Linked DNA regions of Rhinolophus ferrumequinum. The protein of the gene in region 2 purifies or fractionates together with the protein of the main gene of each other region. This does not show direct contact. Links are inferred from orthologs where the notes say so. Each region holds a gene or a part of one and is shown on either strand. Other genes may lie near its edges. The genes, in order: KCNAB2 and KCNA5.

What was found.
Region 1: the proteins of KCNA5 (region 2) and KCNAB2 purify together in Homo sapiens (co-immunoprecipitation; 3 studies listed by BioGRID and IntAct, counting the BioPlex papers as one, with this or other methods). This does not show direct contact. The link is inferred for Rhinolophus ferrumequinum from reciprocal best matches to the Homo sapiens genes KCNA5 and KCNAB2.

Annotation. Positions count from the first base shown.
Region 1 is NC_046292.1:3,615,272-3,622,926, reverse strand, and holds the start of KCNAB2 (voltage-gated potassium channel subunit beta-2), read right to left. Parts: upstream 2,928-7,655; intron 1,758-2,927; coding exon of another isoform or gene 1,750-1,757; coding exon 1,716-1,749; intron 1-1,715.
Region 2 is NC_046293.1:22,534,635-22,542,579, reverse strand, and holds KCNA5 (potassium voltage-gated channel subfamily A member 5), read right to left. Parts: upstream 3,150-7,945; 5' UTR 2,883-3,149; coding exon 1,071-2,882; 3' UTR 337-1,070; downstream 1-336. UniProt on the Homo sapiens protein: Voltage-gated potassium channel that mediates transmembrane potassium transport in excitable membranes. Forms tetrameric potassium-selective channels through which potassium ions pass in accordance with their electrochemical gradient.

The DNA.
Region 1 (7,655 bases), on a different chromosome or scaffold from region 2:
GGCTCCACACTGCTGACTGAACCATCTGAGAGCCATGTCAGCGCCTGGGTGACAAGGATGCCCCGCTGGGAGTGGCACCCTGGATGCTGGACAAAGATCCTACCCCCTTAGAGGTCATCATCAGGGGCCCCACAAGAGACATAAGTGTGAAGCAACCACACTGGAGACCAAAGGCAGGACATCCAGAGCCTGTGGCATTGCACGAGGAGCTGAGAGGCAGAGAGGGACGTGGGAATGCACTTCTCCAACAGAACTCGTCCTCAGGGCAAGAAGGCCTGGTGGAGACCGGATTCTTATCCAGAGGGGCCCTAAAGGGGTGGACAAGACATTGGATCCGTGGCGTTCCAAGGGCCAGTGAGGGTGTGGAACACAGTCTCACTTCCACTCGGTTACACCCCACAACTTCCTCGGCCCCTCTCCCTGGCCATGCCCTCTCAGCTGGCCGGTCTGTGCCTGGACTTTTCTGCCTTTGTCTCACCTCATTCCTTTCCTTCTGGGAGTGAGGTGGGCTCGGGATACGTGAGGACGCAGTTCAAGTGCACGTTTGGTTTCACTGGTCAGATCCTGCTGGGATGAGTGTCACACATTTGCAGTGACATGTTATGTACCACTGCAGTGATGACCATTTTATCCAACGAACGCATTCGCAAGCCCACATTCAGATCTATTTCAGGAAAGACCTTACTGAGCAAAAATTTGAGTAGAATGAAAGACTTGGTCATCTCTCTCTCGCCCTCTGTAAGGAGTGGGACACTGAAATGGTGGCAAAATGAGCCTGAGGACCCAGGCCCACGGTCACGTCGGAGGTGCCGGTAACTGCCCCCGGCCCCATCAGTGGTGAGCGTGCGCAACGCCGGAGAGCGAGACCTGCCAGGCCTGAATGTCAAGATGCACAAGAGACACCAGGTCCCTGCCCCCGAGAGCCACGCCGAGGTCCCCACAGAGTCCCAAGGCGGGCGGAGCTCACCTGCAAGTTCCACACCCTGACAGTTTGCTGATAGGAAGAAAATGTCAAAGTAAACTCCTAGATAGAGTTAGAGACTTTCCGGGAAGCATGTGTCCTCGTGGGGTACCCCCTACCGTACAGGTTAGGAAGAGGCCGCCTAGAGGGAGGAAGGGACAGCCCGAGAGGACGCGGCTGACTGACCTGTCTGTTCCCTGGATACCAAGTCGTCTCACAGGGACACAACCTTTCACCAAGCAGGGGCAGGCATCAGAAAGACGCTAGCACGTCCCCCCCCCCCCCCACCGACCGCATCCAGGTCACATTGGAGCCGCAACCCCCAGGTGAGGCTGGCCTTGGGTGACCCTGACAGCGCTGCAGGTTACACACACATCACTTCAAATCCAAGGAAACGGGGAGAACGGATGGGCCACAGTGTCTTTGACTCTGAGACCCCAAGAGGCACAAACCGCTGCCTGAGGCGGGAGGCTCAAAGGTAGAGCCTGCGAGAGTGAAGCAGGTGTCACAAGTCCCTTTGCTCCAATCAAAGCAAATTCTAGAAGATCAGCACAATGAACCCAACTTCACGGTTTTTCCATCAGGACATTACAGATGCCTCATGGGTGGGTGCCCAGAGAAAACCGGAGCCTGGACTTCGTCGGGGGGCTTTTGCTCCTGAGAAACCAGCAGCACACCCAACCTGGGCACACAGCCCTCCCACCCACTCCCCTGCCTTTCGCTTGTGGATTTAGGGGAATGGAGGGCTCGTTACCTGTAAAACTGGAGCTGTCTTTTGGGACTCCCATACCGAGTACTGCGACAGCAACGGAGGAGAGAGAAAAGAAGGGAGAGAAGAAAGAGAGTCCACAATTGGCATTAACCACAGGGAGGTGCCAGCCAGAACCACCAGCGACACCCCTCAGCCCCAGCCCCACCCCGCTCTGCTCAGGGCTGGCGGGGAGGATGCACGCTGGGTACCAAGTGCTCGGCAGAAGCGCCACCCAGTGGCGCAAGGAGGTAGACGCCCATTCTGTGGGGACAGCAGAATGGGAACTGAAGACAGGAGGGAAACCCTGGGGGACAATCTGTTTGGATTTTAATGAAATATGCTTGAGAACAACAGTTGAAAACCCTCAAACCAAGAAGCGCCTGTCATCCCACTCACTGGCAAATCTTCACGTGACTGTGCGTGTTAGGACCTGGATGAAGTGGGGACACCCCTTTTCCCTGTGGTTTCCATGGATACTCGCTGAGGCTCAGGCCCTGACAATTATCTAGAAAGGTCCAATCGCTCAAGCACTGATGGGCCCCCAGGGTTCCACCTGGGCCCCAGCTGTCGGTGACTGCCAGCTGGGCTCTGTGCTCCGGTCGGGGTGCCAGCAGTTCTCACCCAGTGGCTCCTGCCTGTTTGCCTGGGTCCAACCGGGAGGCAAGCAGAAAGACAGAGCTGGCCTCCTCAAGGAGCAGGTCCAGGGTGCCTGGTGAGCACCTGGCCACCCCGCCCTCCCCGGCATTTGAAGATGGGCAGACACGGTGCCCCACAGGCCTGCAAGGCTTTGAGCCTCACTCAGGCAGTTGGGGGAGCTGAGGGCTAACCTTTCCCCCCTTCTTCTGAAGCCTACTCTCCTCCGGCCACAGGGGGTCCGGAGGAGCCTCAAAGTGTAAGATGAGAGAAACAGAGCCAGGAGGGACTCCCCCCCCCCACTGTTGGGCTTCCGTGGAATTAGACTCCCACCTCTCCTGAATTATTCCACTCCTGAATTATTCCAGGAGAGGTGGGAGTCTAATCCTGGCTCCAACCCACCCAGAAATTCCTGGGTTTTTCTTCCCCATTTTGGTCTTAAAGGCTTCCATCCCTTTCCTCAGAGAAAACGCACCCCCGCTGCATCTCACTGTCCTCTGGGTCCAGGGGAAGAAACACAGTGGCCTCGGGGATCCCTCCCAGAGGGAGGGTGACTGTGGGGGGCCTGGGGCTGGGGGTCACCTGTAGATCATGCCGGGGGAGCCCGTCTGCCGCAGGGAGAGCCGAGCCGGGGAGCCAGTGGTCGATTCTGGATACATGGAGCCGGCCTCACTCGTCCCGACCTGCTCTCTTCTTCACAGAGGGAAGATTCTGGAAGAAAAGCAAGAGGGGAGGTGGTTAAGAAAGACCAGTCAGGTTTGGCCAGGAGGCTCTGTGAGGGTGAAGGCCCGGTTTGCGGGGCATCAGCATGTCCCTCATCGCACAGACAGACCGACCATGGGGGCTCGGATGAGGCTGACGGTCAGGTCCAAGGACTGTGAAGGATTTCCATCTCTCCATCCCCCACCACGCTCCACAGGGGTCCTTCTCCTGCACCCCCACCCCCATGGCTGCTTTTCTGAGGCTGTCAGAGCAACTTTTTGTTGCCCAAACTCTGCAGAAATGGTCCGAGAGGGCGTCTGTGGACTTGGTACTCTGGACTGTCTTCCCCATCCCAGGTGGTGGCGTCACTGTCACCCAGGGCCATCCTTGCTGCCTCACCTTCCCTGACCCCTACTCTAACGATGGTGCCACTGCTGAGCTTTAAGGAAGCAGCTTTTCAGACACCCCGTGACCCCAGCTCCTGGGACCCAACACCCTCTCCCCCTGAGCATACACTAGACCTAGTGACTGGCTTCGAACACCAGAATGTGGCACAGGTGATGGGATGTCACTTCTGTGATTAGGCACTTCCGTGCCTTCTGTCTTGCTAGCAGACTCTCTTAATTGCTGGCTCTTGATGAAGCTTCTTGATGAAGCAAGTTGCCATGTTGGAGAGGCAAGGGACTGACGGTGGCCTCTGGCCAACAGCCACAAGAAGGAATTCTTCACACCACCACGGGAGCTTGGAGGGGATCCCTCCCCAGTGGAACCTTCCAGTAAGAGCCCAGCCCCACCAAAACCTTGATCGCTGCCTTGTGAGGCCAGAGGCACCACCCAGGAAAGCTGTGCCCCAACTTCTGACCCACAGAAGAAACTGAGGTAATAAAAGTTGTTTTAAGTTCGAGGTAATATTTCGGCGGCAACAGATCATGCTCAGTTCCTGATCGCGTCCCCAGCCGGTTCTTCCCACGCTGTTCCCAGCTCAGCAAAAAATTCATCACTATTCATCTTTAGAAACACCCAGAATCCCAAGCTTCTCACGGTGATCCCCATAAGCTCCACTGTGGTCTGGGCCACCACCTTCTCTCTCGCAGGTCCCCTTCCCTCCAGTCACACACACACACACACAGCTGTGTGATGTGTCTCCTGGCTTCCACCTTTACCCTTCACCATCTACTTTACAGGAGCCAGAGTGAACCTTCTAGAACATAAATCAGATGATGTCATTACTTTGCTCGAAACCTTCCGATGGTTTCCCAATCTACCCGGAGTGAAAGCCCAAATCTCAACAGTGGCCTTGTGCCCCACCCCACCTGCCCATGATGCGTGGGACGTCATCCCCTGCCTCCCCCTTGCTCACCCCACTCCCACACACTGGCTCCTTGGGGGTCCCACAAACCCGCAGACACTCCAACCTCAGAGCTTTTTTTTTTTTTTTTTTTTTTTTTTAAAGAAGGGCGCAGCTCACGGTGGCCCATGCGGGGATTGAACCAGCAACTTTGGTGCTACCATCACCATGCTCTAACCAACTGAGCTAACCTGCCACCCGCAACCTCAGGGCTTTTGCACCTGCTTTTTCCACCTGAGCTCTTTGACCACTGAGATCCATCTGAGGGCCCCTGCCCCCAACTTTCCTCTTTATACAAAGGTGGCCTTCTCCTGGAGTCTCTCCCAGACACCTTATCTGAAACTGCAAACCCTTTCTCCCACACACCCCTCTAGTCCCTTCCCTGCAGAATTTTTCTCCCTAGCACTTGTCACCGTCTAATATACCTCATACTTCACTTACTGTCTCATTTGTTATCGTGTTTCCCTCCTAAACACTCAAATACTTGTTGAATGAGGGAGTGAATGAATGACTCTGAGCTTAGCCTGCTGAAGGCTCATCCAGAGAAAGCACAGGGGAAGGGAGGGGTGTGGGGACTCCGCCTCCACCAGGGACAAGGGCAGTCTTCTCTGGAGGGTGCAACGCCCTCTCTGTCCAGGGAGGGTGCTCAGGGCAACTACAGGTGCAGGGACAACTGGTACCACCTGCTGCACTTAGCAAGGCGTCCCTGGGGAGGCCACCTGGCCTACTCCTCCCCCCTACCTAGTTTGGACTCTGAAGGTCAGGCTTCCTCTGAACCAGCAGCCAGCTTCTGGCCCAGAGCCCACCTCTGGGCTCTGCAGCTGTCACCGTCCAATCAGGAGCAACGGCATCCATCCAGTGGCCAATCACGGAGGAGATGACATGCTAGCGGGATGCTGCCAATGTCAGGCATTGGGAGGGAGGCGGGCAGAGGGGTGCACCCGCAGCCTCTCGCAGCTTCCGGAGAGACAGCTGACTTGGGGTCCGAAGCCTGGGTCCCTCCGTCTCCTGCACTTGTACCTGGTCTGTGTGTGACCTTGAGCAAACACCCCAATTTATACTTGGAGAACTGAAGCAGGCAGCACTCAGAAAGCCTGCCCATACCTTCTCCCCGAGCAAAGAGAAGTAAGACATGAAAATGCTGAGCCCAGGAGAAAGCTGTCGAGTAAGTCCCAGCTGTCATCCTTTACAAGGTGAGCTGATGGTGACACCCCAAAGGTCAGGAGGCTCCATCTGTGGGCACTGTCTTTCTTCTCCCCAACTTACTGTTTTGAAAAACTTTCACACATCAGAAAAGTTGTAACAAATCAGAACAGCAACAGACACCCCTATATTCTGCATCCTATTCACCAACGGTCTACATTTTGCCTCAGTTGCATGCATTCTCTCTCCCATCCCGTTCTTTCTCTCCTCTGTCCTTCCCTCCCTCCATCTCCGTCTCTACACACACTCACACTCTTTCACACATTCATACTTACACACACACACATGCATTTTTTCTGGAGCCATTGAAAGTTGCAATCTCAGGGCACCCCCCGTCCACACTGCAGCATGCCTCTTCTGAGAATAAGAGCTCTGTCCTTCATCACGCCAGGGCACACCGAAGGTGCTTATTCAATGTCACCTGATATATAGCCTATATTCACATTTCCCCTATTCCAAACATATATTTTATAGATTTAAAATAACCCAGGGTCCACTCAAGGTTCACAAACGGCATTGGTTATTTCCCCCACTTTCCTCTCATCTAGCTCCCCACCATGTTTTTGTTTTTGTTTTTCAGGACACATTTTGAAAAGCTCAGGCCATTTGTCTTGCACACTGCCCCACATTTCGGACTTGTCTGCTGCCTCACGATTTGATTTGGCTAAGCCTTTTGGGTGAGGCTGTGTCTTCTGTGGGCACCCAGCCAGGAGGCACGTGCATATCCCCGTGGGCAGAGGCAGGCTCCAGTCACTTGCTTGAGGTGGCTTCCGCCTTGACATGGCACGTTTCCTCCTTCAAATCAACCGGTAATTTCGGGGAGGGTTCTTGGCTTTGTGGATGTATCCAGTTCCCCTGCACCCTGTCACTGTGGGTGATTTCTCAGCTTTAGTTTTTCCTGAAAGGCCAGTATGCTGCCAGTTAGAGCTCTGAGAGCAGAGGATGGGAAAGGACAGGAAGTGAGTTAAACTGAAAGGAAACACAAAAACGGATTCCTGGAGGTCTCAGACTGCAGCCCTGGCAAGACCTCACTGTTTAGAGTCTCCACGGACTGACTGGAGAGTTACACGGGGGCCTTCAGTGTAACTCTGGGTCCTGGGATTGGCCATGGGACGCTGGGTGGCAGCCTTCGGGAAAACAGGACCCATGGCATGATTTTAACATGGACAAGCACATGTATACACACATAGGGGAAAGCACCAGAATAAACCAGGTGATCCATGCAGAAAGTCCTGGTTCACCACGTACCAAGGCGAGGCACCCTTGACCAGACACAAGAGCCCTCTCTCTCCTTGAGCCTTAGTTTCCTCATCTGCAAAATGGGGCCTGGCCTAGATGACCCTCAATTTCTCTGTTGGAAATAAAGATAAATGACTATATTACTCTGGGGGAAATATGCCCGGGGTGTCCCACTCACAGCTACTAGTGTGTTCCTCTCCCTCTTCCTCCCTTCTTCCTTCCCTCTCTTCTCTTCCCTCCTTCTTTCCCTCCTTCTCCTTCCTCTCTCTTTCCCTTTCTCTTCCTCCCTCTCTCTCGCCCTCTGACTCTGCTTCCTTCCCCCCTCCCTCCTTCCTTCCCTCTCTTTCCTGCTTTTTTCCTCTCTCTTCCTCTCCCTCTCTCCCTCTCCACCCCCCACCCCACCAGAGGCACTTGCACGAGATGGGAAGAATTCTGTGTATTCAGGACAGTGAAGAAAATGAACATGCGCCGTAAATGAAAAACCACAAAGGTCAGACCTGAGCCTGCGAGTCCAGGATGGAGACACAAAATAAGAGAAGACACCTTCTCATTGGGCCTGGTTGGGGACAGTTCTGGTCACCCAGATGTTCCTGGGTGACTGAGCTGGCATCTGATTTGCATAGGAGGGGATGAGGGCCCCTAGCCCTTACTTCTCCCAGTATCCACATCCTTTGCTGGGTGACTTTATGGCATCTCCCCAACACACACACACACACACACACACACCCCAATGGAGTGCGAGCAGAATGATGACGTGCCAGTCTCAGCCTCGGCCATGGGACACTAGCCTGGAAACTCTGCCATCACCAGGGACAAAC
Region 2 (7,945 bases):
TCCATGCTGAGTCTAATATCATCAGACAACATGTTGCAGGGGTGTCCAAGCCATCAACAGCCCGAGACAAACAGAATTCACTGCTCCATCTATGAGGCACAGGGAGGGCCCAAGAAAAAGATGCTGATGATCAAATTGTTAGTGTTCCAAGTTTTCTACCCCAGTCAAGGTGGCATTTGCTCTGACTCCAAAACCAGAAACAGCAAGTGACAGACTATTTTTTTTTCAATTTCAAAAAATACAACAGCTGTAGAAAAACTAACACTTGCCTCAACCAAGTAACATTTTATTTCTTGGGGATAAAAATAAAGGAATGAATTATCAGAAGTCTTCCTCCAACATCATTAAAATGTTTTTCAAAGAAAGTTACAAAAATTGTTTAAGGCGCACAGAAAAAACTCAGACTTGCCTTTCTTCCAAAACATTCCCTGCCCTAGATGCAAAGCACCTATACCACATCCCAGAAAAGAGAGAGTCTTACAGACACAGGAACCAGAACAGCTGGGTCTCTGGCTAAAATATTAAGTATCACAGAAAAACATCACAGTAACTTTCTCTTCCATAAATACCACACAAGTCTTCAAAATATCTCCAAAATATCTCCATCTGATGTATAGTACAAAAATCCACTCACCAGCCATAAAAATATTTTCCCCTATACACAAAATATAATCATATGTAAAGCAAATTTGGAACACATGGATGGGGGTGGTTACAAAAATCTCTTGGGATGTAGGCTATTTAAAGTCATTTTTGTTTGGGTTATTCCTTTGCTGGGTATAGGAAACTGGCTACAAATACATCCCTCTCATAGCGCTCACCATTTCAACAGCTCCTGCGTCATGGAATGTGGTATTTTTTTAAAAATAGGCAACTCTTGGTGTCATGGAAAGAAGAGGAAAAATGGGGGGATCCAGGGAGAGCGGGAGGGAGGGAAAGAGTGAAAGGAAGAGGGACATGCTTAGGTTATAGAGTAGGTTTGAAATACTCTGTGGTATGAAGTATATACCCAGGCTCAGGAGGCTTCTGCTGTCCCCACCCCACTGCCACCAGTCTGCCTGGATCCCCCCTCATAAATCTGTTTCCCGGCTGGTGTCCAGGCAAAGGGCATACAAGGACCTGCGCAAGTCCACATTGCTCTTGGCCTTGAGGTTACACTTCTCTAGGGGGCAGCTGCCCCTTCGGGCTCCCTCTGCGTTCTCCAGGGCACCCCCAGCCTTGCAGAAGGAGCCCTTGCTCCAGCTGGCCTTCCGCTGGCCTCTGCTGTCCAGCGCTGGCCCCTGGCTCTGGCTGCCCTGCTCCTCCTTGAGGGTTGCCTGCTCCTCGTGGTCCGTCTCCCGGTGGTAGAAGTAGTTGAAGTTGGAGACAATGACGGGCACCGGCAGGGCGATGGTGAGGACCCCAGCGATGGCACACAGTGAGCCCACGATCTTGCCCCCTACAGTGACCGGCCTCATGTCCCCATAGCCCACTGTGGTCATGGTGACTACTGCCCACCAGAAGGCATCTGGGATGCTGGAGAAGTGGGTCTCCTGGTTGTCCGCCTCTGCGAAGTAGACAGCGCTGGAGAAGAGGATGACTCCGATGAAGAGGAAGAAGATGAGCAGGCCCAGCTCCCGCATGGAGGCCTGCAACGTCTTGCCCAGGATCTGCAGCCCCTTCGAGTGGCGGGAGAGCTTGAAGATGCGGAACACCCGGACCAGGCGGATCACGCGGAGGATGGCCAGGGACATGGCCTGCTGCCCATTCTGGCCACCGCCGCCTCCGCCCCCCGGCTGCTGCTCTGCCAGCTCGGTGCCCAGGGTGATGAAGTAGGGGAAGATGGCCACCACATCGATGATATTCATAATGTTCCGAGAGAACTCTGCCTTGCTGGGGCAGGCAAAGAAACGCACAAGCAGCTCGAAGGTGAACCAGATGACACACGTGGTCTCCACAATGAAGAAGGGGTCAGCCAGGGTCCTAGGCAGCAGAGGTGCCACCGTTGGGCCAGAGGGAGGCGCCACAGCCCCGCTGCCGTTGGCCCCCGGGGCGGGCCAGGAAGGCTGGTGGGGTGCTGGGGGATGGCGGAGCAGCTCGCGTTCATCCCTGAACTCAGGCAAAGTCTCCAAACAGAAGGTGATGATAGAAATGAGAATGACCAAGACCGAAACGATGGCGATGGCTCGTGCGGACCCCGAGCTCTCCGGGTATTCAAAGATAAGCCACATCTGGCGCTGGAATTCATTGCGGGGCAGTGGCTTCTCGTCTTCTTTAATGAAACCCTCATCCTCCCGGAAGCGCTCCATGGCCTCGTCCCCCAGCTGGTAGAAACGGATCTCATCTGCGAAAACGTCCAGGGAGACATTGACGGGCCTCCGCAGCCGGCCCCCGGACTGGTAGTAGTAGAGGATGCCGTCGAAGCTGGGCCGGTTGCGGTCAAAGAAGTACTCGTTCCTCAGGGGGTCAAAGTAGCGCAGGCGCTTGGCCGGGTCCCCTAGGAGGGTGTTGGGGAACTGCGCCAGGGTGCCCAGCTGCGTCTCGAAGCGCAGCCCGGAAATGTTGATGAGGACGCGCTGGTGGTGAAGGGCCCCTGCCCTCAGCACCTGGTCCTCCGCCGTGCCCAGGGCGGGGTCGCCTTCTCCCTCCTGGTCTCCCGGAGGCAGCTGTCTGGAAGGCGGCAGCTCCTGGGGTAGCGATGGCAAAAGCCGCCCTCCCGGGTCCGCGCCCCTCTGTGCGCTGCGCCCCCTCGGCTCCGGTTCTTTGGGTGCATCGCTGTGCCCAACTGTCGGGGGGCACTGGAGCTCTCCCCCTGTGGCCTGCCCACAGCCTGCCCGGGCCTCACCTCCTCCTCTGACGGTCATGGCCCCGCCGTTCTCCAGGGGCACCAGGGCGATCTCCATGGCCCGAGGGCTGGGAGCATGCTGTGCCTCGGTCGACACGCTCCCCCCCCGACCCCGCTCACACCCAGAGGGCGCCTGGCGCGGGGCTCCTCTCCCGCCGTCGGCGGGGCGCACAGTGGAGCAGGTTGGGGTTGCTGGAGCAATCGCCTCGCTGGGTCCTGACGTCAAGAAACCGCTGCCCTGCTCTCTGCCTTTCTCTCTGTTCTGGCAGCCCGTTACCAAGCAGCCAAAAGCCTCCTTCCAGCAGTTGCAACCTTCAGCTGCCCCTCTCAAGCAGCGCGGCAGCGCTTGGCCTCCACCCTGCGCGCTTCCCCGCCTACCCCCCTCCCCTCTTCCTCCTCCTGCGTCCCCCTCACGCCTCCCCTCCTGGTTGTCAGAGACAGCGGGTGCCTCTCTGGAGGGCATAGCTGGGGCCCCAGGCAGGGGAGGGAGAGGGGCTGAGAAGGACGCAGCCCAGCACGGTGGGAGGGAGTGGGGAGGAAGGAGGAACAGGTTGTACCGAGCGCTGAAACTCCTAGGGCAACCAGATGAGAATAGTTCTGGATTTCAGTTCACCTGGGAACCCGCTGAACGCAGAGTGGACTCAAGGGGAAATGAATTGTCTTGGTTTGAACGGATGAGGCTTTGAGCTGAGTCAAAGAGAAGAGACAACAGTCATTTTTATATTTCTCCCGCGGAGGAATAATGGTTCGCTATTCTTTGGGAAGAATTACACAGGGGAAGGGGAGTGGCGGAGCTATGGGCTGTGAAAGACAGATGATAGATAGATAGATAGATAGATAGATAGATAGATAGATAGATAGATAGATAGATAGATAGATAGATAATAGATAGATAGATAGATAGATAGATAGATAGATAGATAGATAGATAGATAGATAGACAGATAGATCTCCAGACCAATGGAGAAGCATCTCTCTTCTCACCTTCCTACAAACCCACCGAAAGGTAACCGGCTGAAACCTTGCAGCGCCCCTGCCCTTACCCTGAGAAAAGCCCTCATTCCCAGTCCAGACAGCCGTGGTCAGCAAGACAGACCCAGCGCTGCAGGAGTCTGGACATTCGCTGCCTGGTTTCATATCCTTGCAAACGCGCAGACACACAATCCCTCTGCCCTCTCCACAAATCCATTTGCAAAAACCTTACCAGGCAAGGGGAGGAGGAATAAAGAGATCGTGATGAGAGCTGTTTCAGCCTGGTGAAGGGAGCTAGCAACTGCCTGGAGATCTGTGTAACGGGTTGGGGTAGGGGTAGTATGAGAGGGAGCCAGGGAGGTTGTGGAATCTCCAGAGCTGGAGAGCTCCCAGGACTACAATAATAACCAATACTTAACTTTGCTTTTATGATGCACCAGGCCCATTCTCAGCACTATACAAATATTCCTACAGCAACCTATTTTGTAAGTACTATTATTCTTAATTTATACATGAGGAAAATGAGACAGAAAGACTGACAACTTGCCCTAGGCCATCCAGGTAGAAAGTGGTGAAGCTGGAATTCAAACCCAAGCAAGCAGAGCTTGGGCCCTTGCTCCCTCCACTCTACTCCTCTGCAGAAACGTGTAACCTCCTTTCCAGATACAAGCACTCTCTCCCCTCAACATAGAGCTTTAGTTCCCTCCTACAGGAGGCAGAATGGCTAAGTCCTGGCTTAGCACACCAGGCTATGGGCCCTGCCTTGCCCCTGCAGGCTTTGAGTGGGCATCTATAGCCAAGGGAAATATCTTTCAAGGCAGGTCTGGCAGGTCCCGACACAGCCTCCAGATATTTGCCGGTTTTAAATGACCATAAAGTCACTGAATTTTTGAATGTCTGATTACTTTTGTTCCTGTATGTTGTTTGGTGTTTATATATGTGGATATTACAGCCCCTTGTCTGTGACCTACACATAGGGGATGTTTTGGAAACTTGGTACCAGGTACACAAGTATTTGTTGAAATAGCAGGGTGTGGACATACAATCTCATGTCAGGGTTGGACAATTATATGTGCACATGACTTTTTAAAGTGTACATGAGGGTGGATGTAAATTTGGCATGGGTAAAAGCTCTCGTTGTGTGTGACTTTGTGCACGCAGTTGGCTGTCCTTGCAGACATGTGTGAGTGAAAATCAGTATGTGGAGGCATCACTGGTTAACCACAGGGCCTTGCCCTCCCCTCCCCAGACCTCTGCAATTCCCACTATCTCTTCTGGGTTTTCACTTTCTCTGGCTCTGAGCTTGCCAATCAGGATCCGGTCTGCCCCTGGGAAGCCTGGGGCTTACTGAGCTTGCACAGGGTGAGCTCAGAGACCTGGGACCACTGTATCTTGTTTACTAACTCATGCATCTTGTAAAGACAGGGTTACCATATTGGTTTGCGTGGACTTTCCCTGCACTCCCTAAGGGAAAATGTTCTCTGGACCTTGTCTTCCAGGGGCCCTTGGGGAGAGTGTTCCCTGAAGAATGAGTGTAACATAAACAGTCCTGGAAAAGCACATAAGTCAGGCTTCCTTTAATGTGGTATTTTCTTAAATCTGCTTTCCATACATTTACTAGCTTTCATAGATTTCTTGCAAAATTATCTTCATATGTTACATGGGACAGCCATGGAGGTATACTGCTAGGATCTCCTTTAAAGAAAAGAACTTAGTTTTTAGCTTCAAGGAGTGCAGTTAGCTGACAGCCTACAGCTGTTAGCATCTCTGGTTCTGCTTTGGCTTTCACGCAGAGGCCACAGTCGTCCTGGGCAGCCCTCTGCCAATGACTGAGCTTGCAGGGTGACAAGGACTGGGCCACTTCTATCCAAGGCAGACACTGCTACTGTGCAATCTTTGCACTGGATCTCCCCACTGGATTTGCCAAGTCTTTGTATGACATATACTGCAGGCTGAAACTCTCCCTATCCAACCCTTCTTCCCCTCTTTCCTTTCACAGGTGTCAGACCAGCATCATGGTCAGAAGGCTTCTCCCAATGAGTGCTGCAGGTTTCTTTCTCTCTCTTTTATTACCTCCCAATAAAACTCTTGCATGCCTAACTCCATCTCCTTATCCTCTTGGGAGAGGACACAGCTGATGCATCATAGGACTGAACCTGCTTTCTTCTCCATCCATCTAATCCTAGGGGATAAGCTGTTCTAGAGCAGTGCTCGATGAGCACCGTCACCTGAGGATCTAGTTCCAAGGTGGCATCTGACTCGGGGTGGGGCTTAGACTGCGTTTCAAACAGCTGCCCCGAGTCGCCCATGCTCCTGTCCGAAGACCACACTGAGCGTCAGCCTCCTCTCAGACAAACCCTAAACCATGTCTCAGAAGGAACTATTCGCAGCACCTAGATTATGTCCCCCAGAATGAGATATACATAGGAGAACAAATGGGAGGTATTCTCTCAATGCCCAGACTGGTCCTAGCAGATTGCAGGAAGACTTGTGAGGTATGCAGAATAAAGAGAAAAGAATATTATCAGCGTAAGGCATTGAAAGAAAGGAGAGCTGGGCTGGAAGAGAGAGGAAAGGGAGAAGAGGAAGAGGAGAAAAACTTCTAAATGCCACCTGTATCAATCCATTCAAAAATATTTATTGAGTACCTACTATATGCAAGGCATTGTTACAGGTTCTGGGAATATATTGATGACCGAGACAGATGCAGTTCCTCTGTGGAGCTACATCCCTGGGAAGGCAAAAGACACTGACTGAGCATCTAATTTTACACTGGTTGTTTAATTACAATTTTAAGGGGTATCAGCTAGAATACAGGGTCCTGTGAGAATAGTGGAGAGCCTGACCCCTCCGTAGGACCTATGTAGGGAAGCTTTCTGAGGTGATGATGGAAAAACAATTCCAGGTGGAAGAGTATGTCCCAAGGCTCTAGGGAGGAAGGGACAGGGCTGGTGTGAGGACCTGAAAGTTACTGTAGTTGACACTGAGGGCTGGGGAAGAGTTCGGGGAGATTGGGCTAAAGAGGTGGAGGGAACGCCAGACCATGAAGAGCTTGCTAGGTCAGGTTTCATGATCTCCCCCAGCAAAATGTAACAACACACCCTCAGATACTTTGCTTGTGTCTCTATAAAGCAAATGTGGCAATTTGCTTCTTTTTTAAAAAATCTCTCCATTACTCATTTTAGCCTCTTCTCTCCCTCCACTCCCACTGGAATGTAACTTTATCTCTATGTGTAGTATGTATCTATCCTGTCTATTGATCTCACCCACAAACAGTATCATACCATTTATATATCTATTGACTGGTAGATAGATATGTAGATAGGCAGACAGATAGATGATGGAAAACAGAGCAAGACAGAGATAGCTTGAAATCAAGCGTTACGCATCATACTTTCCTCATCTCTGATTTGCCTTTAAACACCAAATTGGTACCATGTCCATATTGTGAATTTCAATATGTATGTGTTGAAAGAAATTAAACTAAGAGAAAGGAATTCATCTGTGGAACAAAGAGGGAAGTGAAACCCAGGGATTTCATCTCAGAAATCTTCTTTCAAATCATTGGAAGATTTCTGAGATGAGCTAAATACTCAAACTGGCTGTGGAGATGGGACTTAACCAGAAATTTTTAACACTCGTTTGGATGGCCGTATAGGGAAAGTGGTGAATTAAATCTGTTTTGGCTGTTTATTCAGGTTATATATTATTACATTATCTATTACTACTCAAACAGCCTTAACTTTGTAAATTCAGTTGGAAACTAACTTTGTGGATTAAAAACAATTTAATATTTTGAACTGTGTAATTTATTTCCTAAATTGAGATAGTGTTTGAGACCTAAAGTTACTGTAGCTTTGTTTATTATATAAGAATAAGCCAAAAAACATGGAATCTTTTGTATTTTCATCTAGAGCAAGGAAAAGCTTCCCCAGTTGGATTAAATTTAAAAGGACAGGAGGAGGCAAAAATAAGATTCTGTTCTAATTATGCCACCAGTCTTTCTTGTCAAACATCAATTTTGCTACTGCACGTTGGGGTTGGGGTTGGGGTTGGGGCGTTTACAGACGTGGGAACCTCCTCAGGAATGCAATGAAAGTTTCCAAGCAGTAGCCTGGACTGACACACCGAGCAAACCAGGAAAGGTCC